Drosophila melanogaster: one gene and its partners. The protein of the gene in region 4 interacts with the protein of the main gene of each other region in a pairwise test. Each region holds a gene or a part of one and is shown on either strand. Other genes may lie near its edges.

Region 1 (6,901 bases), on a different chromosome or scaffold from region 4:
TTTTGGGGGTTTTGTCTTAATATTTAATAATTAATATTTAATGTATATTTAAAAATATTTAATGTGTATTTAAAATATACATAAATGTTAATCCTCCTAGCTACGCCTTTGGTGGTAAGTCAGCAGCGAAGAAGAGCCGTAATTTTTCTTACCCCTGTTGTGCTCGCCATGTTTACCTTGCCCCAACCACTTGGCCACATCATAGCGCCCCATTGCAACAACGCCCCCTCCCCTCCCCTCTATTCAACCACTCGTGGGAGCCCCCCATAATTATACCCTACAAGTGAGTGGACCTCAAATTGTTTTGTGTTAGAGCAAACAGACGCAATAAAACATGGTGGAATATTCAGTACATATATCAGTTATATTGTGGATGTGCTGTTATAATATATTAAAATATGCTGACATATTGTATAAAGATCGTATAAGCTAAGCCCATTTGTTTTGAATTCTTCTTTCTCTTCAACTAATACAACGGATTCGGGAACTCAGTGTATCTTTTGGCCTGCCAGAGTATTACCAAGTTTTACACTTTCACATTGGGCTTTGTTTTTTGGCATCACAATTTTGATATGCCGTGTTTCCAGTCCAGTGCCTTCTGTTTCCCGGCTTGTCCAATTCTTTGGTCTGCGCCGCTTCTTCTATCATTCCGTGCACATTTTTGTTTGTGTTTGCAGTTGTTTTTGTTGAATTACATGCACACATACATAGGGACAAATATTTATTTAAAACTTATGCCCGAGGCCTTTCATTACTGCGCACGGTAAAAATACTTATATATTTCACTCTTCTATTTATCCGCCACTTTCTCCCCTTTCCCCGGGCGCACTCTTCCCGCTATTCTTCTTATTTTTTGCTCTGTGCAGATGTTGCTTTGTGCTCGACATTCGCCTTTTCCTCTCTCTCTCCCCCTCCCCCCCTGTACATCGTTGCCCGGATTTTTGGTCCCTGGATACTAAGTGAAAATTTTCCGCCCAAAGAGCGGGTGCTTTCACAGTCTTCGCCTACTTAATGCACTTGTAGCCAGCTCCCGCTCAAGATCCTTTCACATCCTCCGCCGCGACCAGCCCCTCCGCAGACCACACACCCATCGGCCCCAATTATGACGTCTAGCGGAGTTCTAATTAGGCTCCCATCAAATTGTATTGTCTGTGTCCTTGTGTCTGGACCATTGTCTTGCCCCGAAAGGAACAAATAGCATTACGACGTTGCACGAGAAAAGTCGATGTTGTTCAAATTTTTTTGGAATTGCTTTATATGGATATTACTTTTTGCATTAATAACATTTTTTAAAATGAAAATCTCTAAAAAGATTAAAGAAGTAATCTTACTTTAATGGGTGACTTCTGTTCCAGAATTATTTCATGAAATAAATGTATTAAAATTGGTAATTGTTCAAATTCATCTGCATAGAGTGCCAGATAATATCGATATCCCATAAATGTGGCATAATTAATATATCGGCCAATGAATATCAATCAAATACCCATTAACATAACATGGCAACAAGAACTGCTCGTAATTTCAAATAAATCATTATAAATACATAGTTTTCGAATATTTGTTCAGCAGTCCGAACTCACCTGTCAATTTGGTGGCGCAGAGTTTAAATTAAATTTCGCTGCGGTAAAATGTTGTTAATTAATTTGAATGTTTTCCGTTTGTTTGCTTTCTTAGTGTTTGTTGCTGGGCGCCAAAAAGTACAGTCACCAACACAGAGGCAAAACACGCACAGGCACAGAGCGAGTGTTATTAGCTGTCGAAACTGTTATTTCCCGTGGTCGCTGTCCCGCTCTCAATCTCTTTACCTCACTGTCTTTGGCGGCGTTTTGCTGTTGAAGGATTATGCACTTAATCCGCTGATATCGGTTGCCAGGCGGGGGAAGGCTGGAGGAATCTTGTAAATTTGTTGGGTAATTTCTGGGTATCTTATCTCCTTTCGTCAAACTCGGTCGGCTGATTGATGGATGCCAGGCGCACACACTGCACAAGGAACACACAACTTGACTGAGCGAAATTGCACAAATAACTGAATCGAAATATCCCCCCGCCTCTCACACACACAGTCACGCACACACACACACGCAGCGAAAGGGAAGGAGCAAGCGAGATGTAGATATGGCGAGAAAGGGAGAAAGCACTCTCTGCCTCGCTTATTTTCGTTTAAAAATTTCTTACAAATTTGCTAAACCCAAAAAATGAGTGCAGAAGCGCGGTGCACTCGAGTGCATTTTAATTGATTTTTTCTTTATTTTTTCGACCGGCTTTCACTCACAGCAGGATGGCATCTCGCTCGGTCCCACGCGGCGTATGCGTAACACTTCAGTTGCAATTCGGCGCTTTGAGTGAGTTTCTCCTGCCAGTGAGTGAGACTCTCGAGTGGGCGATCTCTGTGGGTCACGGCACGGCTCCAGTTGCACTCCTATATGATTTTAAGTTTTAATTAGCTTTTTGTTGCTGCTGTAATTTCGACAGCAAACAAAAGTTGCTGCTGCATCAAATTTTTAATTAATTACACGTAAGAATGCTGAAAAATTGATGGCTACAAGGAGGTTTCTTTCGTTTCGGACAAACAATTAGCATTTTACTGTCCCAAATATGATGCGAAAGTATGAGGGTAAATGAATGAAAAGTTTGTAGAAGTTTTGTAAGGGATAGCTTTCAATTTTTCCATCGGAAAGTGGGGACGGGAGTTAGGCTCGGCATAGACAAACTTTTTAATATGAAAATTGCTCGTTTGGGGTTTGGAAAATTAAGTCCTTAAATTGGGGACTGGGGAAGCGTACCCTTTCTAGAATGTTAACTTTCAAGGAGGCATTTTTAATGTCGAGAGATAGAATTTCAAAGTCGTAATATAACCATAATTTCCTTCTTATAAATAAAACTTACAGACACACATTTTTTTTAAGAATATAAGGCGTGTTCACTATGCATTATATGTAATATTATTTTGGGTCATTGTAAAATATATTATTATTTGATAATAGTTTTAAGCTTAATTTATTTGCACAAGATCTCAATTACAATCTTTTTATGAAACCCTTTTAAATAGTACACAAATTACCAAGCCGAATTTATGAGCAAGTCACTCGGCTCAAACAACTGAGGCTACTTTAATATAGGGTGTCCCGAAATCCGTGCACATCCAGGCTTGAGCATGCGTAGTCGGCATCCGGCCGGAGCAACTCACTCAACTACTGGAGGTCAGCGGGAATGCAACACCTACGAGGCTCAAACCTACCTGAGCTACCTGGAGTAGTGCGGCAAAGAAGAGAGAGTCAGAAACCACCCCGGCAGAGAGAGTGAGAGAGAGAGAGAGTGAGTGAGCGGGCGGCGGAAGGCAAACGTCAGCTGCATGGGAACCCAAAGGCGGGACAATTCCAATTGTGACATTTTGCATTGTTGGCCAGTGTAATGACACACACCTACACGAACACGAATGAGTTGGGTACGGGAAAGGCCTTAAATATTTATGAATGGCATGTTGTATACTTTTCGGGCACATATGCAAGAGCTACAAAGTGTATTGAGAACAATTCCTTGCAATTGCCCACGACTTGCGTTTTTCACATTTTTAAAAGCTTATTTACTATGCGAGATGTGTAAACCCACCGTATCTAACATCACTAAATTACTAAGTTGTAAGCCTACTTTCATAGCCAAGAAGAATAAATTAATCTATAAGTACATTGAACTTTCCATTATGCAGTTCTCAAGTATCACTTTCCAAACCGACAGATTCGCATTGTGGAATAGTTTCAGCGTCGATGCATGACCACCAAGGCCAAAATTCTGTAGCCAAAAGTCCCTCAAACTGAACTCTCGGCCAACGACCAAGCTGATCGCAGTGGAAAATCCGAAAACCAATACGATTCCAATTATCAGAATCGGAGTTATTACGGTTGACCTCATCCGAAGGGCGTGAATGAGCATTGACCACGGTCCAGGTCGGCAATGAACCTCAAAGAAGTGGAAAGCACCACTGGCATCGCACATGACTAGGCGGACCATCAACCAATTTTAAGGTTAATGACTGTGTTTACGCAGAATAAATGTGAACCCCTGGCAAAAAAAGCGGCTGACTGACTAATTTAAATTGATAGCAAAACGGCAATCACAAATCAGACGAGATGTGGGATGAGTAATCGCGGCGATAGGCAAAAAAGAGCCAAATAGTTTTGTTTTGTTTTGTTCTCTTGTTGTTAACTTGCACTAAATACATACGTTTGCAGAGCGTTTATATTGGGATTTAAAAATATTGCGTATACGCCGGCTGGGTTACGCACGAACGAGCAAACCGAGCAGCCGCTGATGGGCGCCCGATTAAGCTCCATTAAAAAAGCGTTTTATGCTTTAAAATTGCAAACATTCGGCGGCAAACTCTATAAAATCAGTTAATGCCGGGGTTTTTGCATTCAGTCAACGTTCGAGGATTACACACGATAAACATGGCCAGAAAAATCATGTCAGTGAAACAGTCGAGCCGCTCTCCATGTTGTTGGTTCGGTTTGCTCCTGGTCGCCATTTTCCTGCAGCCATCCGCGAGCCAATACTACGGTTATCCCTATTACGGCGGCGCTAATGCGGGAGCGGGATCGGGATACGGGAACATATACGGCAGCGGCATGTACGGATACCCCTACAGCTACGGCGGATATCCGTACTACTCGTATCCCGGCTACAACCCGTACTCGATGTACGGTGGATACGGGCAGTACGGATACCCCTATGGAGGATATCCCTACGGCGGCAATGGCATGAGTGAGTTTCCCGACTGATAGCACCTCGGTGCCTAGCACACAAGTAATCTACAAGTGTTTTGGACCTGTTTCTTCCTCTAGACGTGGCCTACGCCAGCAGCAGTGGAGGATTCGCAACAGCCAGTGCGGGTGGAAGCGGATACTACGGCTAGGAAGCGCGAAACCTGATATAGTTTAGTGATAGGTATACGGTTAAGTCATCCTACCCCATAAGTGTGTTAGTGCTAATAAATATGATATTTATGTTCTATAAGTCAAGACTTATTCTTATGACGTGTCCAAAACTAGTGTACCTGGTAAAAAATTGTACACCTAACTAGTGCCTTCATGTATACCACCATAATTTTATTAGCTCCCGGAACTGATGTGATAATTTGTATGTCTTTTAGCACATTTGACCCTATGTATGTTCCGCCAAGTTTATGCTGCCATGACTCTTTGTGGGATCATTAGATCCTTTTCTCAGCTTTTAGCTTTGAGTCAATAACTACGTACGCATATCTGGTCGTTTTAATAGTTATAAAAAAGCCTTGAGGCTGTGATCCCATATATAACCATATACCGAAAAATATTTTTTGCTTCGTGATAACAAATCGACAAAGTTTGATCCATGTGCATTCTTGGCGCCTTATCGATAGCTATGGACAGTGTTGTAAGGTGCACGATAGTAAGGGGGGCAAAATTGTATCGGTCTGCCGATAGTTCCCGGCCGTTAGCCAAGTCCAAATTCGACCGACCGACCAATAGTCTCGCAAAACACAAAACAAAGGCACACCACACTTCGTGCTCTCGCCGAATTCCGCCGCCGTCGCCTGAAACTCACACAAAGTAAGCCCGAAATCAGTGGAAAAGCGCCGAATAGTCGAATTGCAGGTTCAAATGGGATGGACGGCGACTTAAAAGGCGGAGGCCAATAGGCGGCATAAAAACATTGTATTGCGTAATTGGGGCCAATAAGAAAAGCAAAAAAACAAAGCCAACCGACTGCATTCTATTGCGCCTGTGTGTGTGCTTGTGTATCTACAGCTGAGCAGTAAATAAATTTGTTTTACATTTGGCCTCCAAAGGCAATTTCTCGGTGTTCCCGCTCCCTGCGTTTCCATAAACTTCCTCTCCTTTCGCATTAATATCAATGTCTTTAGTTCATCGTTACATATTATTAAGCACTTAACAAGCAGTGAGTGGAAAGAGGAAGACAAATAGCCAAAGTATGCTTACGTTAAAAGAGCTTGTTCCACATATTCGCCACCTTTCTCCCGCACTCTTCCTCTCCCACTCTATCAGCCATCTCTATCCCTCTCACAGGGGCTGCTCACGCGCACCGTGGGGTGTTTTTTCGATTCTCTACCATTTTCGCTGCTATTGCACCCCTTCCCCAGCATTTGTGCCGCTTAATTTCATAAATCAAGGCAGCGTCAGTTAAAAAACACAAGAACTACATACGTATGTACTTCTGCCCACATCCCCTTCAGCCACCTTCTCTTCATCTTTCTGGTTTCGGCAATGGGAAATTTCCGTAGCCACCGCACAGTGGAAAGAGACAACAGCACGCAATTTAAATTACAAGATTGCAATCTCGCTTTTTGGGCAGTTGGTTAAATTTTCATCGAGACACAAGCTGAGCCAAATAAACATTCACTTTTTAAACGAACAGTGCACACGAATTGGGTAGCAATGCCTTGTTCTAAACATAGTGTAAAATGTTTTTAAGATAATTTTTATTTTTTAGTCCAGCGTTCAAGGCACTCGACAAATAAAACAGCATTCATAAATTTACTAATTTGCGATTAACTAGATTGTGCCAGCTTTGACACGCTCTCATCCCACTGTGCGCTTCGTAGACAGAACAGCTGATGCTCGTCAAATTTTAGCTTCTGCTTGTGCAAAAAGCGCTCTGAGTGCGCTTGTGTGTGAGTGCGTGTGTGAGCATGGGAAAGGGAACGTGGTTATCGATAATAAAGTAAACTGAAAATAAATCAGTCATCCGCTCGGTTGACCAACTGCCCAAGTTAGTGCACCTTCTAGAATTTCTTGCAAGTGCACATTCTTTTGGTTCGCAGTGTTTCTGTTTTGCGCCTTATCTGGGGGGTGTGTCGTCGTCGGGAGCTTCACGTTTGGCTGGTTATCAAAATCACGCGACT
Region 2 (8,301 bases), on a different chromosome or scaffold from region 4:
AACACCACACGCACACACACGCACACACAAGTACGCCATTTATTATTCCAATTAAATTTACCAACTTCGTTGGACATTGTCTCTGTGTGTGTGAGTTCGTAATTGTATCCATCAAAAAATCGCATTTATCATTTGTGTTCTAGCTTTTTGAACACAAAGTAGTACATATTGGTGCATATAAGGAAAACCTTAACGCACATTCTCATTAAAAACTGGTTTGTCAATATAGCATACTTATTGGAAACTGTGTACAGTAAATCAACGCCCGTGGCCTATGAAAATTTAAAAATAATAAACATAAATTTAAAGTAAGCCCTGATTTTGAAAACCTTTAGTTATATTATTGAATCGTTGGGATAAGCAATTACTTTAAGAGTAAATAATATCCGACCATAAGCCTATAATCTTAATAAATATGAAATTCAATATATGTTAAATGTAAAAAAGCAAATATCTGAGAAGTATTTCACTTATATTACTATACTATTTATAAATGAAATCCGAATGAAATAATTCGTATGAAGTCATTATATGTGTTCTATACATACATGCATATGAAGAGGTATAGTTAAGGGGAAAATGATAAAAATGCAGTCTTTTAGTTTCCATATATCTTTGTAATGAAATGTTTTTAGATTTATTATCATTTATGTGGTAATTTGGAACTGGAAATTAACGTTGACTGCACACATGGTATGTAGGGGGGGATTTTAAGCGTTCGGAAGCATTAAGCAAACACATTTTTAATTTGCCAATTCGAAATAATTTTGATTTGTATTTCTTTTAAGCCAATTGTAATTTTTTAAATTTTTAGGTGACCAATGCAAGCGGGCATAGTTCAATAATCTTATATCCGGTACATGGATTATGTTGGGTTACAGTTTTCGTAGCTCGGACTCACAATGTCTCCGGCCAGAGAGAGCATCTTTAATCCTAAGTGTAACGTTTTGCGATAATATGCGCGCATCGAAAGAAAACTCCTTGAATAAGGCATGTTTGGGCTAGTATCAAAATTTTAAATTATTTAATACTTAATTAGTTTGTTAGAGCTTAAAGCACTTATCGGGTTTTTTTAGCACAGCGTTTATGGTTATAAAAATACAAAATAAGCTTGGTTATCCTTGATTTAATATGTTTGTGTTGCCACCACTTTTTGATTGTTATTGGCTTACAAATCCTCGGGTTTTGTCACTTATTTCAAACACTTTGGACACAGTAAATCGGCAGATTGCTATTTTCATTTGTTTGGCTTTCATTTGCTTCTCATGGATTTGGTTTGATTTTGTTGCAGCTGGAAACTTACAGAACTTGTACGGGGCGTTACACTTATTTTATCATGCCGACAAGTCCAAAACGACGCTGTGGTAGCCACCCGCGGCTACTTCTGCACCACGTACGCGTTTTCTGTAGACTGATTCGGCTTTTCGGTTTTCCCAATTGCCAGCCTGCCGCCAAAGGATGCAGTCACCCACACCCGCGCACTCGAAAGAGAGCGAGAGCCCGCGAGAGAAACCACCCCCAGAGCCAACCCCAACCTCCAGCGGGCAACGCTCTGTTGCTATTTTGTTTACTTCTCGCCGCGGGGGCGTTCTACGGACTAAAAGGAGAGACACCCAAACGGTCTAGTAGGGGAGAGGGTGGTAGAGCTTGGCAAAACATGTGCTAGTCTTATCCACTAACTACGTACATTATTTGGCGCCCAACGTGGGGCATTTCAATCGAAAATTCATTTTTGTTTCCGCTTGTTTGGTCTAAGCATCTAAATTTGGCTTGTAACCTCTACAATCTAAAAAATTAAATATGCATTTATTTTAAGTTTTAATACAACAATTTTCAAACATTTGGTCTATACCCATGTCATATTTATTTATATGTATGTATACTGCGCGCCCACTTGATGGATTCGCAGTAAAAGCACACATCCATATAAGTAAACGAATCCTACCCTCTGCTCACAGGACATGCGTATTAGATAAGCCAAATATAAAAATGACACTCAGAGAACAACTCTCCGGACCATTTTTTGTTGTTGTTGCTAAAACAGTTTATCAACACGCCCGAGTCTCTGATAAAACAATCATCGTTTATGGTGCAACACGCTTCAACCGCCGCCCCCCAGCAGCATAATTGAGATATAGTCCAGTGACCAGACCAGTAACACCGAACTGGGGTGGCTAACAAATCGAGTCGAGTGGAATAGCAAGGAGAACAGTGAAAAGTGGTGGGAGTAGACTCAAGTGTAGAGTGGTGTGGACATGTTCTGCAACCGCATGATTAGAAATTGAGCAAAGTCGATGATAAAGCGGCGGGTGGAGCTGAATCCCTTACATGTATAGAAAAACGGGTGGGAAGCCGAAACTGGGTTAAACCAAAACCCTTCCATTTAAATGCGTACCCAATGATTTTTTAGCTTGTTTATGACAAGTAATATCAATGCACAAGCGTAACCTTCGTGCGGCTCGTTTAACTGCCTATTCCAGGCTGCTCAGCTCACGCAAACTCTTCTTAAACAAAAAAGCACAGTTATCGCATTTTCTTTTAAACTACAAAACATAGCTGAAAACTACAAATAAACATGTCGACGCATCGAATACATAAATAAATCTTTTTAAGTAATATATATGAATTCAATTTAAATAAATACTAAATCCAAAAACTGCGTTACACGGCTTTTTCAACCCTTACACGGCTTGTTACTCAAACTAAAAACGATGGCTTAAAATTATATTTATAAAAAGCAACTACTTCTACACAACGTATACTTACTCTACACGAATAGAGTATCGAAAAGACGAATAAGAAATTAAATATCCGCTTAGCACGATATATTCAAATTTTTTGTTGCCTTCCGCCCCCGAGGACAGCAAATTTTTATTTGACTTTTTATATGCCATATAAACTAGGGCCGTGCGTCAGTACGCGACTTTTCAATAAATCCCGCCCTTAGCGGCTAAACTTATTTATCCCCCTTGCTACTGTTTGAAGTTTTACGCTGTCGGTGCTGCAGAAGCTCCTGGTATTGCTCTATGGATCCGTCTTCATGCTTGGAAGTAAATGAATCCGGCTTTTCAACCTTGGCCTGCTCCTCGCCGGCGGTGACTTTGGTGCGCTTCGATTTCTTGAGCTTGTCACGGACGCGTTTTCCCAAACGCGATTCGGCCAGCACCTGGCTGACCTTGGAGCTCTTCATGTAGCGTGAACGCCAGGACTACAAACAAAAGGATTATTGTGTTGAAAAAAAGGTACTGTTTTGAGGAGCATTTAAAAATACCTCGGAGTCTGCCTGCTGTAGTTTGTCGCGTTCATCCTCGCTTGTGTCCAGGGATATGACATCGTTGTCCAGTTCCTCAGGATCCTGCATCTTCTCCTTTTTCTCGCTTTTAATGCTTACCCAAGGTGAATCGTCATCCTTCGTCATTTCCTCAATCATTTCTAGATCCCCACCTATTGAAATGACGTCGTCGTTTTGATCTTCGTCGTCAAGGGCAGTTGGCTCGGCTGCACTCGGCTTCTTTGGCTCTGCAGGGGGATTAGCTGGGAGAGCTTCTTCCGACGGTGGTTCCTTATCCCCTGTTTTATCTAGCTTATCAGACGTATCCGATACTTCTGGCTTATTACTTTCCAGTTCTTTCGAAATAGCTGCTGCTTCTGACTCTGTTGGCTCATCTGGATTGGCTGGGTCAACTACCTTAGCTGGCTCTTCGGGTTCATCGCGCACTTCTCCCTCCTCTGGCTCGCTCTCAACGACTGGGGCTGGTGGGTCCGATTCGACTTGCTTAGTTGTAGTTGTTTCAGTTGTCTTCTTTTTGGTGGCCTCATCATCCGTACTGTCGCTGATCAGCAGTGTTTCGGGTTCCGTTTGTATAGGTATCACATCTGGTGAGGCTGAACGTGATTTGGAACGTGGCAGTTTGTTTAAATCGTTAGATGCAACCAAAGTTTCGGATGAAGTAGTAGATGTTGGAGGTTTGACTTCCTTTTCTGGCGACTTTGAAGTCCGCCTATAGTTTCTTTTGATCTTGATTCTTTTGCGGGGCGCTTCCTGCTCCTTGCTGCTGCTATCAGGCTGGGATGGAGATGTTGGTCTAGCTGATTCCTGCGATTTGCGCTTGCTCGAATCCGTTTTTTTAGTGCTGCGTTTATCCTTTTCCTTTCGCTGTACTTTCTCCACTGGTACTTCGTCAATATCATCATCTGACTTGACCTCTATTTTGGTGATTGGCTCCATTGCCAGTTGGGAGCGGATGGCCCTGGCACGTGCCTGAAGTTCCAACAGTTCCAGCACGCTCATTTGACCACCCGCTGTGGGAGAAAAGAATACCTTAGTAACCTGAACAAATTTGCCGTCAAACGGGCGCACAGTCTCAGATGGCTGTTGTTATCATACTTTCGGTCGATTTCGATTAGTTTTTATACATTCGTAAAGTTTGTACTTACACTCTTTGTTTTCATTCCCATTGTTCGTTTTCTTGGATCTAAGCTTCTTCTTGGCTGAAAATCAGACAAGATTGACACAGATTGCATTACAAATTGTGCTAAAGTATACATAAATTAACTGCACGCCAGGATGCCGATCAACCAGAAAGAAGTAACGCCGCAACTAGACAGTCAGACAGGTGAGGATCAGGGGGAGGAGGAGGAGCAGCCGGAAGACGAGAATCGTCTGGAGAAGTTTACGGTGCGTCTTAATGGACAACATGACCTGGAGCAGCGTTTAAAGGATTTCAAAGCGGCATGCGAGGCTCACGAGAAGCACGCCAGACGGCGAAAACGGAAGAGATACTATCATTTGGGTCTTGTGGCCAAGCTGGTGACGGAAACCACTCACGACGAGCTGCGACGTATGCTGGAAAATGGAACCTACACCTTTCACGTGGATACGGTGGGCAACAAGCCCGATGAACTGAAAGCCATTTTGGACACCATGAACATTGCGATATCGGCGCATTCTGCAGAGAGGGAACTACGTCTGACAACTGGCTTGGCTCTGGAGATTAACGGCGAGTGCTGTCGCGTTGGGAGACTGAGGAACAACTGCACCGTGATGCTGGCACGAGGTGGGGTGGTCACACTCACCACGGATGAGTCCTACCGCTACAAAGGCTTTAAAGAAATAGTGTACGTAATCAATCTGCGGTGTTATCTCGCCTCCGTTCAGTTGGGCGATATTGTGATGATCGGACGTGAAGTTAGAGGTAAGGTGGTGAAGACCCTGCGGGAAGCACTAACCGTGATGATCATAGATGCCGGTCTGGTAGCCTCCTACGACTTTATAGAGCTTCCTAGACAGTGCCACGCTCTCGATCCGGACCTATATCCCGATCTGTACATGAAGGACCTTGAGATGGCCGCGTCTTTGAATGCCAACTATGTGGTTCTGCCCAAGATACGATGCAAGAGCTTTCTTCGTGCCGTGCGGCAGACCTTGAACTCGGACTTCAACCTTAAGTTGATCGGAATGATAGATTTCGAGTATGTGCGAAGTAACATGCTTGATTTGCTAGGCATCATTAAGCTTGTGGACTACATTTGGATACCCGACATGTTCAACGTAAACTGTTGCGTATATAACTACATTATGGAGGACGTGCTTCCGATTTCGCAGTGCCAGAAGAAGCCAGTCATTGGCACTGTTCCGCTGGAGCGTTGCAGTGATTTTAAGCGATTTGAGTTGCACGATTTCCTGTGGAAGGTCGACGCTATTCACATCCAAAAAAGTCCATGGTGCAACAAATATCCGCTGATAGTCAAAAAGCTGATGCCCATAAAAGATTATCGTGTTGGCGCGGTCCAGAATAAGATGGTACTGAAGAGCATCCTAACCTCATACCAGACCATTGTGAATTTTATTATCCGCACAATTAGCTCGATTGAGTGTCAAGCCATATTTTTGTTCACCACTTGCGAGACCGCCAGCGTGGCCCTTTCGCGTATTGAGATCTATTGCCCAGTATATGTGATGGTGCCGCTGGAGGAGACAGATGATGCGGAAACCATTACCTGCAAGGTGGAGCTCGCTCGTGCGCTTCATTTGCGCCGTAACATGCACCCGGTTCTTTACACCAAGGATCTCAACGAGTGCAGCTACAGTCCGATTGAGTTTGGAGTGGACTTTATGAGGAAGAAGGGCTGCTTGGAGGTTGGAGACTTTGTAGTTACCCTGGAGGTGGGCAAAGAGGATAAGGATAACGTGGTCATCGGCATAGGAGAGGATGTTTGCATCCTGCGGGCATTTTACGTGTCGCCGCTCTTTGCCTGCGAGAAGTTTAAGTACGGTGGATAACTTTACGGCGTGCAGTTGTGCAGATTACACAGATAATAAACTCTAAATTAAATGTATCTTATGCCACCAACTCACTTTTTCGGGATTCCTGACCTCCGATGTCGCTGTCGGATGATATCTCCTCTAGCGAGATGTGTTCTGAAATGAGACTTTATAATGAATGGTGGGTTTATAGGGCAAGGAAGTGATTCAACATACCTTCTTTGTGCTCCACATCGGAATCTTCGGAGCTTTCAGTGTCTGTGGGACATTTGGTGTTTTCTATTATGGATTTTAGCCGCTTCGTAGACAAGCAGAGTAACTCCTCCAGACAAAGTTCCTCGATTTCGTCTAGTGGCGTTTTCTGCGTGAAATTATTGATAAATAGCTTTTTATAAAAAGAACTATAACACACCTTTAGAAACTCTGGGGCTAGGTTCAAAATGGTTTTCGGTTTTAAGGTCCCAAATATCTGTTTCACCAATTCCAGGCGGTCGTCTATGTAATGGGACATGGGATGCAGCTTTCGTTCCTCCTCGATCTTCTCCTTCTTAATGCTAATGGGCTTGGGGATTTGGTCGCCCTTGCTGGATTTTTTCGCCTTCAAGCCACTCATTTTATCCAATTTGTTGTCAAAATAAAAACCAAGTAATTTCGGTCTTTCGGGCAGCGTTGCCACTACTATTTATACCTTGTGGACAGTGGGACGAAGGCAACAATTTTGTGGGATTAGTGTGAATGGCTCTATTTTAAAATTCAAAACGCAAAGAAAAACGAGCAGTATTACGAAAATGTATTTAATAAAAATTATTTCGTATACTAGGGAATGGCACATAGAATCAATAATTAAAAATGTACAATGGTGTATATTGCCTTTAGGACTGTATTATCCACTGTGCGCTGTTGTTAACAGTGTTATTGTTTTTTGTACAGAACAGCTGATTATCAAGCGGTGTAGGTTGAATTAAATTGTGGGAGTGTTAGTTGTCTTAAAATTGTTAAGGTAAGTTGATGTATTAATTGAACTTGTAATCCATCAGTGTAAAAGTGTTTACGGAAAGCGGTGATAGCAATTTTATATCAGCAAACAGTTTCTTGTCGTAGATATCATGTGAAATCCGTTAGTAAGGTGTTACGTGAGAAATAGTACTTGTGGCAGAATTTTAGAGTTTGGCTTTTATTAATGGGGATCTGTTACTAGTGTAAGTTACATTTAAACACATTAGTCCAATATATATTTAGCATTTTCTATATTTTTGTTTTTTTGACATGCCGCTAGAAAAGTAACAGAAACTGTTAAGTAACAGTGATGGCACATTTAGGTTATTTCATTGGGGAGCGTGTTTTGACAACTCTGCTGCGGCCACACTGAACATATGTTCCGGGGAGAATGGCTGCGATTTCGCGTCGGTAAAAATAGCAAATACTCGTTAATGTGCTGTGGGAACGCTTCCTCCCCGGCCCCAAAGTGGCCCCGAAGAAAGTGAGCAAATGTGCGCGCCGCAAGATAGTCGCCGCCGAACAAACGATAGTGACGAAAGTGATTTAATTCAACTACCAGCACTCCCGCAAATACGATGAGTATGTCGCGCGGCGGCAACACAACTCTGGACTTGCAGCCGCTCCTGGCGGAGAGCGATGTCGGAAACAGGGAGCTGGAGGAGAAGATGGGCGGATCGGCGGATCGGTCATCGCTGCTCGATGGATCCGGTTCGAAGGAGCTGAGTCACCGGGAACGCGAGGACTCGGCGTTGTTCGTCAAGAAGATCGGGAGCGCCTTGTTCTATGGCTTGTCCTCCTTCATGATTACGGTGGTAAACAAGACGGTGCTTACCTCCTACCACTTCCCCTCGTTCCTGTTCCTCAGCCTCGGGCAACTTACTGCTAGCATTGTGGTCCTGGGCATGGGCAAGCGCCTGAAATTGGTGAACTTTCCCCCTCTGCAGAGGAATACCTTCGCCAAGATCTTTCCGCTGCCACTGATATTTCTGGGAAACATGATGTTTGGACTGGGTGGCACAAAAACCTTGAGTCTGCCC
Region 3 (8,470 bases), on a different chromosome or scaffold from region 4:
TAACAAAGAAAAACCAGTTGCCCAAAAGGGCAGAGCAGATGTCAAGAAAGATAAAGCGTGATGTTTAAATATACTTTTATAAAATAACAAAATAACTTTTGAGCTTACACTGCTAAGTAGTTGCAAAATGCTTACTTAAATAATTTCAAAAATTCAGACATGCTAGAGCGAGATGACCAGGCACTAGGGGCGCATCACTGGATTCAGTCTAAAGCGATTGTCAGAAGGGCATCTTCTGGGTGAACCTCTAGCAAAGCCTTGGCGCCATCGTTGAAGGGGAACGAAATGCTGCCATCTATAACCAGGTCTGTGGAGATGTAATTGTCATAGTTATATCTTGTTTCGTATTTGAATGTCCAACTACTCACTGGCATCGATGCAATGCGACTTGACAAACACGGTCTGCACAAAATCGCGCTCCTTAAAAGTCTTTGGCGAAGGCCACACGCCCACGCAGATTTGCTCCCGGATGGAATAGCAGAGGCGCGGGTCGTCTGGCGCGAAGAGCAGGCCTTGGTTGTACCGCTGGGCGATCTCCTCTGCATTTTGTCGTAGCATCATCACGTTCTTTGAATCGCCGTCGGGCAGGGAACGCAACAGGTCGTCCACATCTCGGCTTGTGATGCGATTGATGCTGGTGTGCCAGGATGTTGAGCCCGTGCCCGTGCTGACGCACAGTCCGGAGCATTTGGTCTTGTTCACCACGTCCTGGTGGTCCAGCACCAGTTGCAAGTGGGACACTCGGGCCGATAGATGCTCGCCAATAAATACCTATGTAGACAGCTTGTAAGATCTAAGCAATCCAGCATAGAATCCTAATTGTCTTACCTCGTTCAAAGCCAAGTAAGGAAGAACACGTTTCATCTTGGCCTTGTACTTGTAGGCCATGTCCTGGTCCAGCATTTCGGGTGCGGTGCTGACCTGCTCCATCTTGACCTCCGTGTGGCGGAAAAGGTCAGTCGGCTCCGGAATATTGCCGTTGCTACCAAGCATCGTAGTCCGCACCCTCGAGCGATGCATCCACTTGAAATCTCCCTGCCAGGAATTTGAATATTTAATGAATGAATTGTGAGAAGTGGCTCGTTCCAGGACTTACGCTCTTGATGCGGGAAACGGCGTCGGCCGGATTATCCGAGTAGTGCTTGGGCAGCATGAGTCGGCCCTCCGAGTGAAGCGGATCCGAGTTGAAGCCCACGATCGGCGTCTTCTGCTGGCTGAGCGCGAAGAGCGGACTGGCGCGTCCGGCGGAGAGAAGGAAAGTGCCATCGCCGCCCACCGGCACGATGACGTCCGCCCAGCTCATGACGTCCTTGCTCAACGAGCTTCTAAATTCAAGTCTGCTCGTTTAGTAAAGTCAACACACAGGGTGAGGTGCCGCATGGGAGACACGAAGTGTGTGAAGATGGTGGAGATCAATTGTAGCGGGTAGTAGTCACAAATCGAAGATACATATAGGTATAGTATGTGACGAAGTGACGAGGCACGCAACACAACATTGGTGGCAGTGATTGGAGGCCTAAAGGTGTGGATGTCTGGGTACATGTCCTCATAGAACTAATCTCATTCAAAGCAATGAAATCATTTCCATGGCTTGAGTACATTTACTCATTTACTTGAGTACATGTACCTATGGCCTCCGTTGCTTTGAGCTGCACTCCGATCACTGAATTGGAGGACTACATGGGTACGCACCTGCTGGACAACTTCACCTCGCAGCCGACGTCCTGGAAGCTCTGCACGACCCGCCGCTCGAAGTCCTTGTGCACCTTGTGCAGATGGAGGACCATCTCCACGTCGGTGCCCCGGTCACGGAGCTTTTGCTGGAGCTGATCCGGAGACAGTTCCGGGTGGCGTAGCTGCTCGAACTCATAGCGGGACAGCTTGGTGACGACCAGGGCCCGCTTTAGCTTGAAGTTGGTCGGCGTATATTTAGCGTACTCTGTTCAAAATGGCAATTGCAAGCGAAAGACCTCGTTAGTCCGATCAAATGTGGGTCCTCGTCACGGGAAATTTACTCAAACCCTCGGGAATAATCTTCCTGCCGTTTTGAAGCATCCTACGGCCGAAATCGATGTGTAACTACTAGGTTTTAATGGAAATTTCCCGGAACAGCTGATAAACAACACAGTGCAAGTGGAAAGTATTTTCCCTCTAAAACTTTTAATGAAACAATGTTATGTATTTGGTTTGTACCAATCATGTTTTTCGTAGATTTTCCTAATGGTTTGACATACTGCAGTGAGCTTTAAATACCATTATTAAAGATAAGTAAAATCAAGCTATCCAGTATGTAAAATTTGTTTGTTTATAATCAATATAATTATAGCATAACAAAGTTTAGTGACACACACTTTGAGATCTGCGTTCAATACTTGTTGAAAAGTTGGTTAAGTTAAGTTAATCCGGAAACCAAAAAGGATATTTAAGATAATATCCACTTTCTGAGCGAATAATTTTGTCAGCCAGTGTGCGTGGGGAAAGTTCATCGTGACAAAGAATTTGGCGAAAAAGTGTTTACTGATAATCTTCGGCTTGGTCGGCGTCAGATGCGATTAAGGCTGTCAAGGCGAGCCTACGGATCTGGTGATATGGTATTAGTTTACTCCAGCACATGCCTAAGGCTGATAATGGAGGCGGCAACGAAAACACAGATAGCTAGGGTGTGTAAAACACCTCAAGTTGTGCCATTTCGGCTCCGGAAACCCACACATCCTTACCTTTGGAAAACTGTTGGAGCAACTGCTTCGACTTCAACATGCTTGGCACTACCGAAGACGAACAACGCACATTTAGGGTACTGTGTTCAGTTTATTTCGTATTCGTTAAGAAAATCGTTTGGGAAAAAGACTACGCTATAAAAGTAACCAAATGCAAAGAATCGATGGCTCTTTCTTCAGTTGGCCACTTTCGAATGCTTTTGCACAAACAACAAAATAACTGCGTGTTCGTTCTACACTCGACAAAGCACAAAACATAGGTTGAGGTTAGTGTTTAGCACACTATCCTAAGTTACGATCACTACTAACTATCCCGCTATCCGATCCCGATGATCATTTTCACGTCCGCTCTCTGGGTGCTTGGCAGATTAACTGATTATTACTCTGTTCGTCTCCGGCACATCAGTTATGTATGTATATAAAATCGCCTTCGCTGTAAATTTATCGCCGTTTGTTTCTATTTTCGTCCGCTTTCGCTTCTCACATCTCGTTCGTCCGTGTGTACTTCTTGTTGTGCATTACTGATAAGAGGCCCAGCCTGTTCTTATCAGCCGAAATATGTGTTATATATATAAAAAAAAGAGGCAGAAAGCGACTATTCACCCCTGCCATTCACTGGGCATCGTCGAAATCGTCTTCTTCTTGCCTGCGTCGACTCGCAATTCGCACAGAAAGTGCCCGCCAATCCGGCGAACTTAATTTAAACATGGGCTGCTGAGTACTTAGAAATAACAGAAGTCAGATAGATCCCTTAAATGCAACTTGATGTCGGTTTTCTAGTTAAAACGTTGCAGTTGGTCCCTTCCTCCTTCACGTTCAGGCAATGCGACACTTCGGGACTCCTCCATCGGTCCGTTTATCCAGTCGATGTTCTTAAATAAGAAAACCGTAAACTTATTTAAAAATACAAAGTTAATATGAATCATTTCTTGAAGCTTAATGCCTTTTTTCTTACACGTGCAGTTTGTAAGGCTTTCTTTCAAATCTCTATTGTGTGGTATTAGATTACACATGATTTCGAATATTACCTTGAAGATGTCACACGAGTCTCCTTGGTTGTTTTGCTGGGCAACGCTCTTGAGCAAGAGCATCACGTTGTGGGCCATTTTACTGATTTTCATGCTCTCGGAATCAACTGCTGCGGGTTTCAGGTCAGTCTGCGGCTTATTAATATCCTGCGCTTCTCCAGCAAACACATTCATCGAGTTGTCCGTGTAACGCGTGATGGTTTCACAAGGCAAATGGTTCTTGACACGATTATCCGGAATGTGGGACACCGAATCGATTAAAGAGCCGATCGAGGTGGAGCCGGTCCAGTCGTAGTGGTCAGGTCCCATGTAGTTGCGGCTGCTACGCGGATCAGTGGGTGCCTGGTGAGTATACTGGAAATGTTTATTTACATCAATGTCAAGGTCAGTTTGTTGATTTGAATGGATTTCTTGACTGCTGAAGGCATTGTAGGCGTAGCGCAGGACCTCCTTCTTGGCAATCTGGGGCTGGTGCTGATGACGATGGAATTCATTCCGTTCATGGTGATTATACTGACGATTGCGTCTCTTGTTAAAATTATTACGAAATCGAGAGCCTTCTCTCAGATCAAGGCGCGACTTAACGTGACCACGTGCCTGGTCACTGAGCCCCAGTTGAGCCGCCGCTGATGGCCGGTTGACGTTGTTACCATTCATGCGCCACGTGGCTGAGCCTTGTGAGGCCTCCGAGCTTTGAGACTCCGTCTCGCAGTACACCTTATCAAAGTCATTAATCTCAAAGTTGATTTGCGAAACATTGGAATCGAACTCGGTTAGAATTGATTGGCCATTTGCTAGCACGGAACCCTGGAAATCTTCAACTTCAACATCGGTATCGCCACCCTGATCCTGGTCCTTGTAGGTTTGCAAGTGCCCCAGCTGGCGATTATCGCCCTTGGGGGCTGCATTACTCGAGTATCGTGGTGGTATTCTGGGTTTTGGTACTACGCATTGCTCGAAGTACTCATCTGTCAGATAAAAAAAACGAATATTTTAAGGACGATCACAAATTGAGCAGACATTTTTACGTACCCAAAGACAGAATGACTCCGGATGCATTGAAATCCGTCATCGTGCACTCGCAATTAAGCCTAAAATATAGAAACAAAAAAAGCTTGGCGCCGCGTCAGTCTGGTCCGCAAGAAAAACAGTTAGAACCACCGCGTTTGTAGAGCTGCAAGTGCTGCAATCGAATATTACCACCCGGATAAATCGAAGTAAAACTTCTTTGCACTGGTCAGCTTTTGAGTTTTTACACCCGTTACTCGTAGTGTAAAATAGTATACAAAAGCATATTCTTGATCAGGATCAATAGCCAAGTCGAGCACCTTTGCCACACCCCTCCTTATAATTACAAAACGCTCAAAACACACTTATGAACAATTTTTAATTTTTTCTCATTTTATTTAGCAGTATCTATCATGATAAATTTTCGTGTTCGCATATCCACTAGCTGAGTAAGAGTATTTTCTAGTCGGGTAGTATTTGTCTAAGATCTATTCATTTTATTTAAAGTTTATTAAACATAAAATATTATTAGTGTTTTATTTGTGTGAATTCTTTTTCTTTGTTTATTTTCTTCTTTATTAAATTAAATCAAGTATTGACTTAAGTTTAATATGGGGCAATAACTTGTATGTATTTACTTAAATCGTTCAATGCGAACTTGTTTTGGTAAATCAGTTTTTCATAACAGTGCGCCACCTTGAAAACAGACCACAAACGCAGGCGTTAGGCGTTTCAGTATTCTTGAAAGTACAAGCAGCGTGCACACTGCACCACCAATCGCCGCCAACTTCACTGGCTTCTCTTCACTTTTTTAAAGAACGTGGAGCGAACATCACCGCATTGGAAACGATTAAAAAAATATATATAAAAATGTAAGTATTATAGATATGATAGGCGACCGGTGAGTGCAGCGATTATAACTGCAAATCGAGTTCTACTGGCTTGTTTGCAGAACTCAATGTTGCAAGATTAATTTGTGATGCGCAGGGAAATGCACTTCACCGATTGCAATTCAAATTGCAGTCACGTGGTCGAGATTCCATTGCAGTCTCAACAAATTAAAAATTAAAAAAGAACGTTAGCTAAACGATGCGTTTGCTTATATTGCAGGTGAATCTGTGATTACTAGGCGCTGCGTTAAAGCGCTGGCATTTGTGAATTGGTAAGTTTCATCATTGTATTTATTTATATTTTTGTTAAATAATATTAATATTTTCATGCGAGCATGAGTCGCTGGTGTAAAGAAACTACTACTTTAGCTAGTGCTTTTTACTTGCTCGCAGAAAAACGTGCTTTGCCCAAGCATAACCCAAATTTAAAAAACCCGAGTTTGCGGTGCATATTATTTTCGTGAAGCTGACAGTTTAAACCCTCTTAACTAGCTAAGTTTAGTATTTGCGAATATGGCTAACCCAGCATTCCATTTTCAGAAACAAAATGGCCTCTTATGCTCAACACGTGTTTTCTGGCAGAGTTGGAGAGAGACAGACGGTAAGAATTCGTTCCAAATCCCAAATTAGCCCTTCTCAGTTATCTGATGATTTATAATTCTATTTTCTGACATCTCTTATGAACCGTTGTGATTCAAATCAGTTATAACTAATTCTGACACATTCGACTCTCAACTAAATATAATTTTTACTTGTGGCCGTGACTTATGAGAACTCATCTATTACTTGCAGATCGGTCTTTCGATTTGGATTCGGAATATAAATGAGGTTATCAGCGTGAAATGGTAATTATTCTCTTCATTTATGAAAACTACTTAAAATTTCGTGATGAATGACCCTATCATCATCTTTCGACTGAAAATCATTTTGATGCTATACTAGTTTTCACTGAATTTTAAACGCTTTAAAAAAACCTGTTAAAAAGATTGTTACATTTGAATAACACAAATATATTTTAATTTCAGTTCATTGCAACGTCAATATCATGTATCAAACGTGGCTCACTAACACAGTGAAAAAGGTAATAATTCGGTTTAAGATAATAAAAAAATTTAGTTTAAATTTTATGTGTAAATTGGACAATTAATTGTGTTGTGATGAATGAAACTTACACCATCTTTCGACTGAAAAATGTTATGAAGCTATACGAGTTTTTACTGAAACCCCTTCATTTTATTATTTTTGTGTTTTATAAGTTTTTTAGAAAATCGGTTGCTGCTCTTTATAACCATTTAATTTTTGTCATTTTGCAGTGTTCAAGAAAACCACCTTTGATTGTCGCGTCATATGCCCAAACAAGGATCTCTCCTTTGAAAAGGTAAATTATACTCTAGAACGAAATAATATGTAAATGATGCTTTTAAAATTTCTGACATCTCTAATGAACCGTTGTGATTCAAATTTTTCTAATATAATTAACTGATCATTTTAAAATCGCTTAAACGATTGAGTTATATTTGAATAACTACTTATTTGTATTGTTTTTGATTTTTTTTTTTTTTTTACAGATGTGAAACATGCGTAGCAAAATGAATCCGTCAATGGTTCATTTATAAATTCCAATATCTAAAAAGGTTAGTACGAAAAGAGATTCTGTTTAGCGGAAATGAAGATTTCAATGATGATCACTTAAACCATTCACAGACACCATATAAAGGTCAAGCGCTGGCAATCTTCTTCAATATTCTTTTGGAGATAGAGCGTCTTGTTTGACTGGTTATGGGCCCTGGTTAAAAACTTGGCACTGAGCTTCATAATGCATTCTAGTATTAATGAAATTAGCCTGCGAAACCAAACTTATCGTTCCTGTTGTTATCTTTTCAGGTTGGCAACCTTGGATGAACACAATTTGTATCTTGTGGAATCACGAATAAATAAAATTCATATGTGTTCTTAAAAATCGTTTTTTACTAAGTTTGCTCGCTCCCGCAATGCTAGTTCCTGGTTCTGCTTGGCAATCATTCGCTCGCCCTTCGACTTCTTGCCTATGCCCAGCTTCGGCAATCCTCTATTTAGACCCTCGAGAAGGACGCACGCCTTGCACGGCTGCTGTGAGGAAACGAAGCCACATCGGGTGCATGTGCCACGCTCGGGCTTCTTTACCGTGTCCTTGAAGCGAAGCTGTTCGCCAGAGTAGATGATGTCCATTATAACCGATGGTCGCACTTTCTCCAAATCCTTGAGAAACGCTCGAGCGTGGCCGCGATACGCATTGGGGGCGAATACGCACTCCGTTGAGAAGTAGACCAGCTTTTTGTAGTGGGCGTACATCACGATTTCTTTCTCGTAGCTGTACTTGAGGGGCTTCACTCGGGGAATGGTATCCTCGCCCCCGCCGGTGCGGATGCTCGTGCAGCGTCGCAGGCGCGCCGTGTCCCCACGGAGCACGTTCATCAAGACAGTCTCCGCAATGTCATCTGCATTGTGGCCTGTGGCTATGCTATCAACGCCCAACAGCTTGGCCCCTCTATCCAAGGCCTGTCGGCGGAAGACGCCGCAAAATGTGCAGTTGTTAGAACGGCCGATCTGGGCAACAATGCGGTCCATGGTCCAGCCGTAGAGCTCCTCGTAGGACAGGATCTTTAGTGGCATCTGGTAGTCGTCACGGTTCTGTTTCACTGTCTCCAAACTGTCATCCCGATATCCAGTGATGCCTTCGTCTATGGAAAGGAGCACCAGTTCCAGACCGTAGTTATGGCGTTCGTTTAGCAGTTTTAATCTGTAGAACACTTGGATTAGAGAGGTGCGATGGGGGGAATGGTACGAC
Region 4 (7,989 bases):
TAAATACTAAATTTATATAAGCATAAAGGGTACAGTGGGTATACATTTTAATTTTGTTTCTTAATACTTTTCGTAAATAATATTACCCCTTTCTTTTCAAAGGTGTACTGCATTAAATCTTGATTGCACCCTTTAAGACGGGACAAATAACTTCTGGGACTCGGACTCACCTGCAACGGCGGAGGTGGGGGCAAAGCTGTGGCGTAGCTGAACTTCAGAGCAGGCTGATGCTGCGAATGTTGCTGCTGTTGCTGCGGGGACTGCTGCTGGTGTGGAAAGTGAGCCTGCTGTTGATGGCTGGCGAGGAAGTGCTGCTGAGGCACCTGCGGAATCACCAGCGCGGCTGTTGAGGTGGTGACACCACGCCCAAAGCCCGACGTCTGCGGCTGCTGCTGCTGCTGGTTGAAGCGATAATCCGGAGTGACCTGCGCTGGCTGGTACAAAGTGGACACGCTGCTCGTGGTGGGATGTGCGGATGTGCTGGCTCGCGCCTCAGTTGTGGGCGGTGAGCATTTCAGTGCTTTCATCGGTGGATTGCTCGGTTTGCTGCTGCTGAGGCTGCTGCTGTTGCTTGCTGAGGTGGAGGTGGGTGTGGAGCTGGTTGTCGAAGAGGCGGCTCCGTTGGAGCAGGCCGCCACGAGGGAGGAGGATAGCGGTGGTGGTGCTGGTGGCAGCACAGGCGCTGTTGCTGCTGATATGGTATTGACCACGACTGGTTTGACATCGCCGCCAGAAGGGGGTGATAAGACGGCCGGTTTCTCATCAGCACTGGCTTCGCCGCCGCTGGATCCACCTCCTCCAGATCCTCCTGTCAACATGGCGGCAGCGAGAACGCTGCCCATGCTGTTGCCACCGTTCCCAACGATCGTCATCTGCACCAGCGCCTTGATCACCTGCTCCTTGGGATGGGTCTCCAAGTGATCGGAGAGATTCATGCCCGCATGCAGGTACAATGTGCACACGGGGCATTGGACACTGTTGTCGACCATGATGACGATTTTAGATTGTTCTATGTGTGGCTCCTGCCTACTCCTACTCCTGCTCACTGGCTGCTCCTGCTCTCTGGGAGCCTGGCTTCTAGCTTTCTAGTGCGACGGATGACTGGCGTGGTTGCCCTTCAGAGTCATAAAACAGCGTATCTCCTTGGCTTGGCGTCCATCTTGCTCAATCCTCTGATTCGACGCGGGTGAGCTGCATTGGAGAATATAAAGAATGTCAGAATGTTGGTGCCAGAAATTACTGTACCAGTCCCTGGGCACATTCTGCGCTCCGATATCAACGTCTTCGGTGAAACGATACCCGATATGCGAAGAATGCGCCGTCCGGCGATCCAAGTGATCAAGTATCCACGGAATGCGTAATGTTTAATCTTAACAAACGCGTCTTTTTACAAAACCAATCCAAATTTATAAAGCTGATAATTTAATAATAAACCCTACTTTTCTTATAGAAAGGTGATTTGGACTGGAAGAACCCTTCGCACATCGTGCATCCTAACTGTTGAAAGTAACTCAATTAAAACCACAAATGTTTTACTATCGGGGGTAGCACAAATAATCAGTAAAAAAACGTTCGTTGGAAGTTTCTTGTAGTGAGTAATTTCTTTAAAAGCCAACAAAATAAAAGCATGATAAAAATAAAATTGTTTCAACAGCGAGTGCATTTCTAATATGATGATTATAATGATTTTGGTTTACCAGTAATTATTTTGTTCTTTAGAAAGCTACCAAATAAGTACAATTAAACATACAAGGCATATTTAATAATTGAGGATCGCAAAGGATCAAAATGAGAGAACAAGAGTCAATAAACTTTTCTAGCACAAAGCAGACCCAACCTCAACACAGTCACCCTTAAAGTCGATTCCACATTTTCGAAATCAGAGGTGCCATTTTAAATCGATTCTATTGATTTAGTAAAGCCATGTCTTATATTCGAATCCGTTCATATTAACCACATTCTCTGAGTAGAGCAACATAAGAATTCTGATTAGAAGGTCCTGTTTGGGCAATGGAAATGGCGGATTGGAATGCCGGTTGCAGATGGGTGAGACAACTTCTGGAGCAGCTTTTTTCTCTCGGGGAGCCAGAGCAGCAGGAAGAAACGGAATCAGAATCGGAAAAAAAGAGGCAACGACCCAGACCCAGCCTGCTGACGAGTTATTGGCCGTTCATCTGGTTTGCCTTTTGCTGCTTGCCTTTTGCGATAACTTTTGCTTTTATTTATAGTCTGTCTGCAGACCAACATTCACTTGTTTCTTTTTTGGGATTTGGCCATCTCTGCAAGGGTGGCTCTTTGTTTTGGGGGCGAAGGACAATGCGAGGGCTGCACATAAACAGCGGCAAACAAATGTCTACGTCTGTTGCTATTGATTTTTCCTTTGCCAAAGGTTACACACACCACGCACACACAACACCCACATGCACACATGCACACACAGACTGTCGAAAAATTGAGGAGCACACGGTGCGTAAATGCATTATGATTTATTCCAGTATCCCAGTTTGCAGCGACAACAATCGCCAGCCAACCTTTTTTCCAGTGTGCACACACGCGCGCTTGTTTGTGTGCGTTAATGTCGCTGATCTTGCCACTTATTGTACGATTTTTTTCTGCTGATTATTATTCACATAATTACAGACACACACAATTTAAAAATGCACATATTTCCGCTTTTGTTCACCAGCCATTGCCATCGATTTCGTTTTCGTTTCGTCCATGGAATGGAATGACACTTCCACAAAGAGAGGACGCCAGCTAATTACCAGTATCGATCGAGAGAGAGAGCGGCTGAGAGCGTATCCTTGGAAATGTAAAGAGCGTGGTGCACCTGCGGCCGCTTAAAGATGAAGAGGAAGTGGAGTTGGAGGAGGAACTGGAACAGGAGGACCAGGAGCCAGGAGGCTCTCTTCTCTTCTTTTTCTCGTTCAATGACACAGAAATCTTTCCTCTCGTCTTCCGCTTTGTGCGCTCCTTCTTCCAATATACAAGCGAGCTTTTTATATGTGCGAGTGCGACTGCGAGGCCATCGCTGCGTTTATCTCCCTCTGTCTGTGTGTGTGTGCGTTTGTGTGTGTTGGAGTGCGTGTGGCTACACACAAAGTAATATTTTCAAGCACGTTTTTCATGCACTTCGAGCCGTTTTTTGTCTATTGCCGCATAGAAAACGAATAAACGCCACTTTCATCTACAATTTGGTGTACAATTCGTGCATATTGGTGCACTTTTCACTATCAAAAACCGTTTAAATCGTTTTCACCTTGCGACAAGAAAAATTACAACACCAGGCGTTGGAGTGCTGCAAAACGTATGCGGGCTGCGGGAACTTACCAGCACTAGCAGTGGTGGTATTTTTGGCTAAGCAGGGCATTTAGCTATTTTCTTGCTAAATACTACGTTTCTAAGTGATGGCAATGGATGAGAATCCCAAAAATTAGACCAATACTGTTAATTATTTTCTCAGGTGTTTAGATAAGAAAATAAAATAAAATGGCTTGCGTATCTGTTATTACACTTTGTTTAATATTTTGCGTCCCATACCGCTTTATTTCCCAAAAAGTATATGAAAAGTATGAATCCCTGGTAAGGGAAATTATTCAAGGAAGAAGAAGAAACAGCAAGCCGGAACGCAGGGAATTTTTTAGACAAGTTTGTCAACGTTTGCTAAGATTTTGTCGAGTTTGTGCAGTAAATAATAACAAACAACAGATATGGCAGATAAGGCGCAGGAACAAAGTATAATGGACAAGTCCATGCGGTCGGTTTTTGTGGGGAACATACCCTACGAGGCCACCGAGGAGAAGCTAAAGGAGATTTTCAGCGAAGTGGGCCCGGTCTTGTCACTGAAGTGAGTTCCCTACTTAGAGCCATGCAATATCTCACTGTAAACCTCCTATTCTCAATCCCCCAGACTGGTCTTTGATCGGGAAAGTGGCAAACCCAAGGGCTTTGGCTTCTGCGAGTACAAGGACCAGGAGACGGCTTTAAGTGCCATGCGGAATCTGAATGGCTATGAGATCGGCGGCAGAACACTGCGAGTGGACAACGCGTGTACGGAGAAGTCGCGCATGGAGATGCAGCAGCTGCTTCAGGGACCCCAGGTGGAGAATCCCTATGGCGAGCCCTGCGAACCAGAGGATGCTCCCGAGCTCATCACCAAAACGGTGGCTTCCTTGCCGCCGGAGCAAATGTACGAGCTGATGAAGCAGATGAAGCTCTGCATCGTGAGCAATCCATCGGAGGCACGCCAGATGCTAATGCTCAATCCTCAGTTGGCGTACGCTTTGCTCCAGGCCATGGTGGTTATGAGGATCGTGGACCCTCAGCAGGCGCTCGGGATGCTCTTCAAGGCCAACCAAATGCCCCCCGTCTTGGGCGGCAATCCGCACCAGGGGCCGGGGAATCACACCATGATGGGTCAGCAACAGGTTCCGCAACAGCAGGTGCAGATCCCGCAGCAACAGCAACAGGCTCCCCAGCCACCAATGCCCGTTCCCGGACCTGGCTTCCCGGCCAATGTCCATCCGAACGATATCGATTTGCGCATGGTGCCGGGTGGACCCATGCCGATGGATCCCAGGATGATGGGCCGTGGCATGGACCAGGATTTGCGAGCTTCTCTACCCAATCCAGTGCCACCGCCGCTGATGGATCCCCGAGCTCGTGCCCAGATGCCCCCACAGCAGCAGCAGGGCGTTCCGCAGGCGCCACCGGCCCCCTATCCCAGCGATCCGCGCCAGCGTCCCATGGATCCCAGGTTAAGGGCAGGACCTGGTCCTCAGCAGCAGGCGCCGCCACAAGGAATCCCCCAAGCGCCGCCACCGACACAACAACAGCAGGCGGCCGCTCAGCAGTTGCAGAGCAGACTAGGCGCCCATGGAGTCCTGCCCTCGGATGCCTCCGACCAGGAGAAGGCTGCCCTCATCATGCAGGTACTGCAGCTGTCCGACGAACAGATTGCGCAGCTGCCCTCCGAGCAACGGGTCAGTATTGTCATGCTCAAAGAGCAGATTGCGAAGAGTACCCAGCGCTGAAACTACTCTGGCTGAAACAAATGAAAAATCACCATTTCGCTCATGCATACTATAGTACTTTCAACATTGAATCAATTAATAAAAAGAACATTTCAACACAAGGAGATTTATTAAGCGGAATAGAATGGTTTTCAAAGAGCGGAGACTAGGGTCTGGTGTAACTTCTGAACCGTCGTATTGAGCATTTGTCGCAGCACATCATCCTCGGCACAGCTGATGGCCTGGAAAGATTGTAGATTAACGATATTTTTCGATTTTAAAAAGCACCTTCGACGAACACTCACCAGGGTTTCCAGATTTATTTCCGCACGTTTACCGCTCACCGTCACTGGCAGCAGATCGCCCTCGAACATTTTTGGCACGCAGTTGTCGCCGAAGGTGTCCTGTAGCGTCTCGATTAGGCACTCCCGAAAGCGCGAGTCCTCTGACTTGGTTTGCTTTGTGGCACCCTTCAGATTTGTTCCGCCCAACTCCGATTGCATGATGCAGGCAAGAACGGCATCGGCGTACACATCATTCACATGCGTCGCTTGCCACTCCATCACAATGATTTTCTGCTCCACAGTTAGCTCGATGCAGCCGAACACGCGCAGCTTTCGCTCCGCCTCCAGCACCTCAACGCATCCGGCTCCAATGCGATCCAGCAGTAGCTCTAGAGTGCTCAGCGAGCTGCCCCAGGGAATCGACTGGCGTTGGGTTACAACAGACATGCTCATATCCGTGTATTCTGTGGGAATTATTTAAATGAATCGACATTTTTACAAAGAAACTAACTAACTATTACTTACTGCCCAGATCAGAAGGAGCCAAGAGGTGGTACTTAAAGTCGCGCTTAACCAGAACACCTGAGAGTTTGCTTCCCACCTCCGAGTTCTTGGCTGCGAGGCTTCCCATCACCTTGGCGGTTTTCTCGCCACGGAAATAAAGATCCACGGCATGTGTGTTTCGCGGGTTGTAGAATTTTATATCCGTGCTTGCATCTGCTTCGTATTCCCGCTGCAGGGCCAACTTCAGACGCGACATCTCGTTCTGCTCGCCGTGGACGAGCACGACATGCGTTGGCTTTAGTAGGCGGATGAATTCACTGGTCTGCTGGTAGTCCGTGTGAGCCGAAAACGATATGTAGTCGACGGACATGTTGAGCGGCAGCTTCTGGCCCGACAGTGTGGTGATCTCCTCCGGCTCGGAGAGAACGGCTTTGGCCAAAGTGCCCTCCACGCAGTAACCGGCTATAATCACTCCGTTCTTGGGATCTGTGCACCAGCTCTCGAAGAGCTCTCGCGACAATCCCGACTGCATCATACCCGGCGACGCCATGATTACGCAGGGTCCGATATCCTCGAAGTGATCGATACCCTTCAGGTTGGAAATGTGGCGGAAAACGAAGGGATTGTTCACAGCTATCTGTCGTCGAATTCGATCGTTCATAGCATTGATGTACGTCTGGTAGACAGCCATGCACTTCTTGGCCAAAGAGGAGGCATAGTAGATGGGAATCTCGTGCAGATCCGGGTTCTGCGACCAGAATTCATCCAGAATAAGTAGCAGTTCTTGGGCACGGCCCAAAGCAAATACTGGAATTAAGCATCTCCCGCCTTGCTGAACAATTTTCTGCACCAGCGAGGTAAATCGATTCTCTCGATCCTCTCTTTTCTCGTGAATGTGAGTGCCGTAGGTGGACTCTGTGATAAGAACATCCGGCTTCATCGGTGGCACTTCGGCAGCCATCAAATGTCGATCCTCCTGGCGCGAAAAGTCACCAGTATACAAGATCTTGATGCCAGCAATCTCGATCATGAACATGGCGGCACCCAAAACATGACCAGCAATATAGGCACAAAAGCGTACGCCCATCACATCGCGCTCCTCGTGGAAATTGATCGTCTCGATCTTCTCCATGGAGGCCTCCAGATCGGCTTCCGTGTATAGCATCTGTTCGGTGGATATGTTACTGATCTTGATGTAATCGGACAGCATCCATCGGTAAATGGCTTTCGTGGCATGGGTCATAAAGCAGCGGCCTTTAAAGCTGGTCTTCATGAGAAACCAAGGCAAGGCACCGCAGTGATCCAAGTGGAAACTGATAAATATAAGCATTCACCATTAAAAGTTCAATGCCCATTTAATCGCCGCAGTACTTACTGTGATATAAACAGCAGATCAATCTCATCCGCCTCTATTAGATCTACGTAGGGCAGGGCATCCATGCCGGACAATCCCGGATGGATTCCGCAGTCCAGCATTATCTTCTTGCCCTTAAATTCCAACATGATGCAGGAGCGTCCCACTTCCTGGCCAGCACCACTGAAATATAAGCGTTACCCTTGAGCTTCTATCTGGTTTAAATCAAGATTCCTTACAGTGGCTTGATCTGCAGCAGGTCGCTTTCCTCGTCTGGCATGCGTGCATCACCTGTTGCCTGCGTCATGATGTCTAAAATAATGTAATCAATAACAAACTTTTTTACAAATCGCCGGCAACAAAACGCTGTGCACGGCAGTGTGACCAAAGTTTGATGACTGCCGGTATGGACCTGTTCACACAAGGGCTGGAAAAGAACATTGTACTTTTTCCTTTTACATTAACATTAAGTTATTAGGACAATTTAATTTTCTCGTAAACATTTGTTCATTAAGTAGGGCCTAGATTAAATCTGGCTATTAATCTTTCCCGATACTCTCAACTCATTCCACTTGGGCCCCGCCTGACCTGGTCACACCGATTGCCACACGAAAGTCGAACAAATAAAGGAAAACTATTTTTGACAAATGGGAGGATCCAGCTACGATGGTGAGCAGTGGGACTTAATGGTTACCTTCCATATAAGCTATCTCTCCTCTCGACCTCCCGCACAGTGCTCAGGAAGCAGGCGCGGAGCCTGGAAAACGAGATCGACCTGAAGCTGGTGGCATTCAGCAAAATCGGAGCTGGCAGTGGAGGAGGTGGAAGTGGAGGA

Evidence for each region.
Region 1: the proteins of CstF64 (region 4) and CG14563 interact in a two-hybrid assay, tested with the Drosophila melanogaster proteins (one large-scale study listed by BioGRID).
Region 2: the proteins of CstF64 (region 4) and CG12229 interact in a two-hybrid assay, tested with the Drosophila melanogaster proteins (one large-scale study listed by BioGRID).
Region 3: the proteins of CstF64 (region 4) and Boot interact in a two-hybrid assay, tested with the Drosophila melanogaster proteins (one large-scale study listed by BioGRID).

The regions. Positions count from the first base shown.
Region 1 is NT_037436.4:21,839,918-21,846,818, reverse strand, and holds CG14563 (uncharacterized protein), read left to right. Parts: upstream 1-4,432; 5' UTR 4,433-4,463; coding exon 4,464-4,761; intron 4,762-4,841; coding exon 4,842-4,912; 3' UTR 4,913-5,011; downstream 5,012-6,901.
Region 2 is NT_037436.4:17,432,514-17,440,814, reverse strand, and holds CG12229 (uncharacterized protein), read left to right. Parts: upstream 1-4,383; 5' UTR 4,384-4,437; coding exon of another isoform or gene 4,438-4,491; 5' UTR 4,492-4,567; coding exon 4,568-6,283; 3' UTR 6,284-6,343; downstream 6,344-8,301. Other genes in the region: CG32176 (uncharacterized protein), read right to left, coding at 2,957-3,208, 3,272-4,302, 4,438-4,491, 6,359-6,421, 6,482-6,626, 6,678-6,878; frc (fringe connection), read left to right, coding at 7,840-8,301.
Region 3 is NT_033778.4:9,089,715-9,098,184, forward strand, and holds Boot (bootlegger), read right to left. Parts: upstream 4,945-8,470; 5' UTR 4,818-4,944; coding exon 4,778-4,817; intron 4,714-4,777; coding exon 3,746-4,713; intron 3,590-3,745; coding exon 3,494-3,589; 3' UTR 2,792-3,493; downstream 1-2,791. Other genes in the region: Dbp45A (DEAD box protein 45A), read left to right, coding at 1-61; Nadk2 (NAD kinase 2, mitochondrial), read right to left, coding at 204-307, 369-771, 829-1,035, 1,097-1,337, 1,693-1,939, 2,016-2,055; Ctu1 (cytosolic thiouridylase subunit 1), read right to left, coding at 7,597-8,422.
Region 4 is NT_033777.3:18,655,995-18,663,983, forward strand, and holds CstF64 (cleavage stimulation factor 64 kD subunit), read left to right. Parts: upstream 1-3,623; 5' UTR 3,624-3,710; coding exon 3,711-3,847; intron 3,848-3,910; coding exon 3,911-5,033; 3' UTR 5,034-5,132; downstream 5,133-7,989. Other genes in the region: CG31224 (uncharacterized protein), read right to left, coding at 171-989; Cpsf73 (cleavage and polyadenylation specificity factor 73), read right to left, coding at 5,165-5,254, 5,318-5,760, 5,822-7,113, 7,176-7,337, 7,394-7,461; Gos28 (golgi SNARE, 28 kDa), read left to right, coding at 7,802-7,823, 7,889-7,989.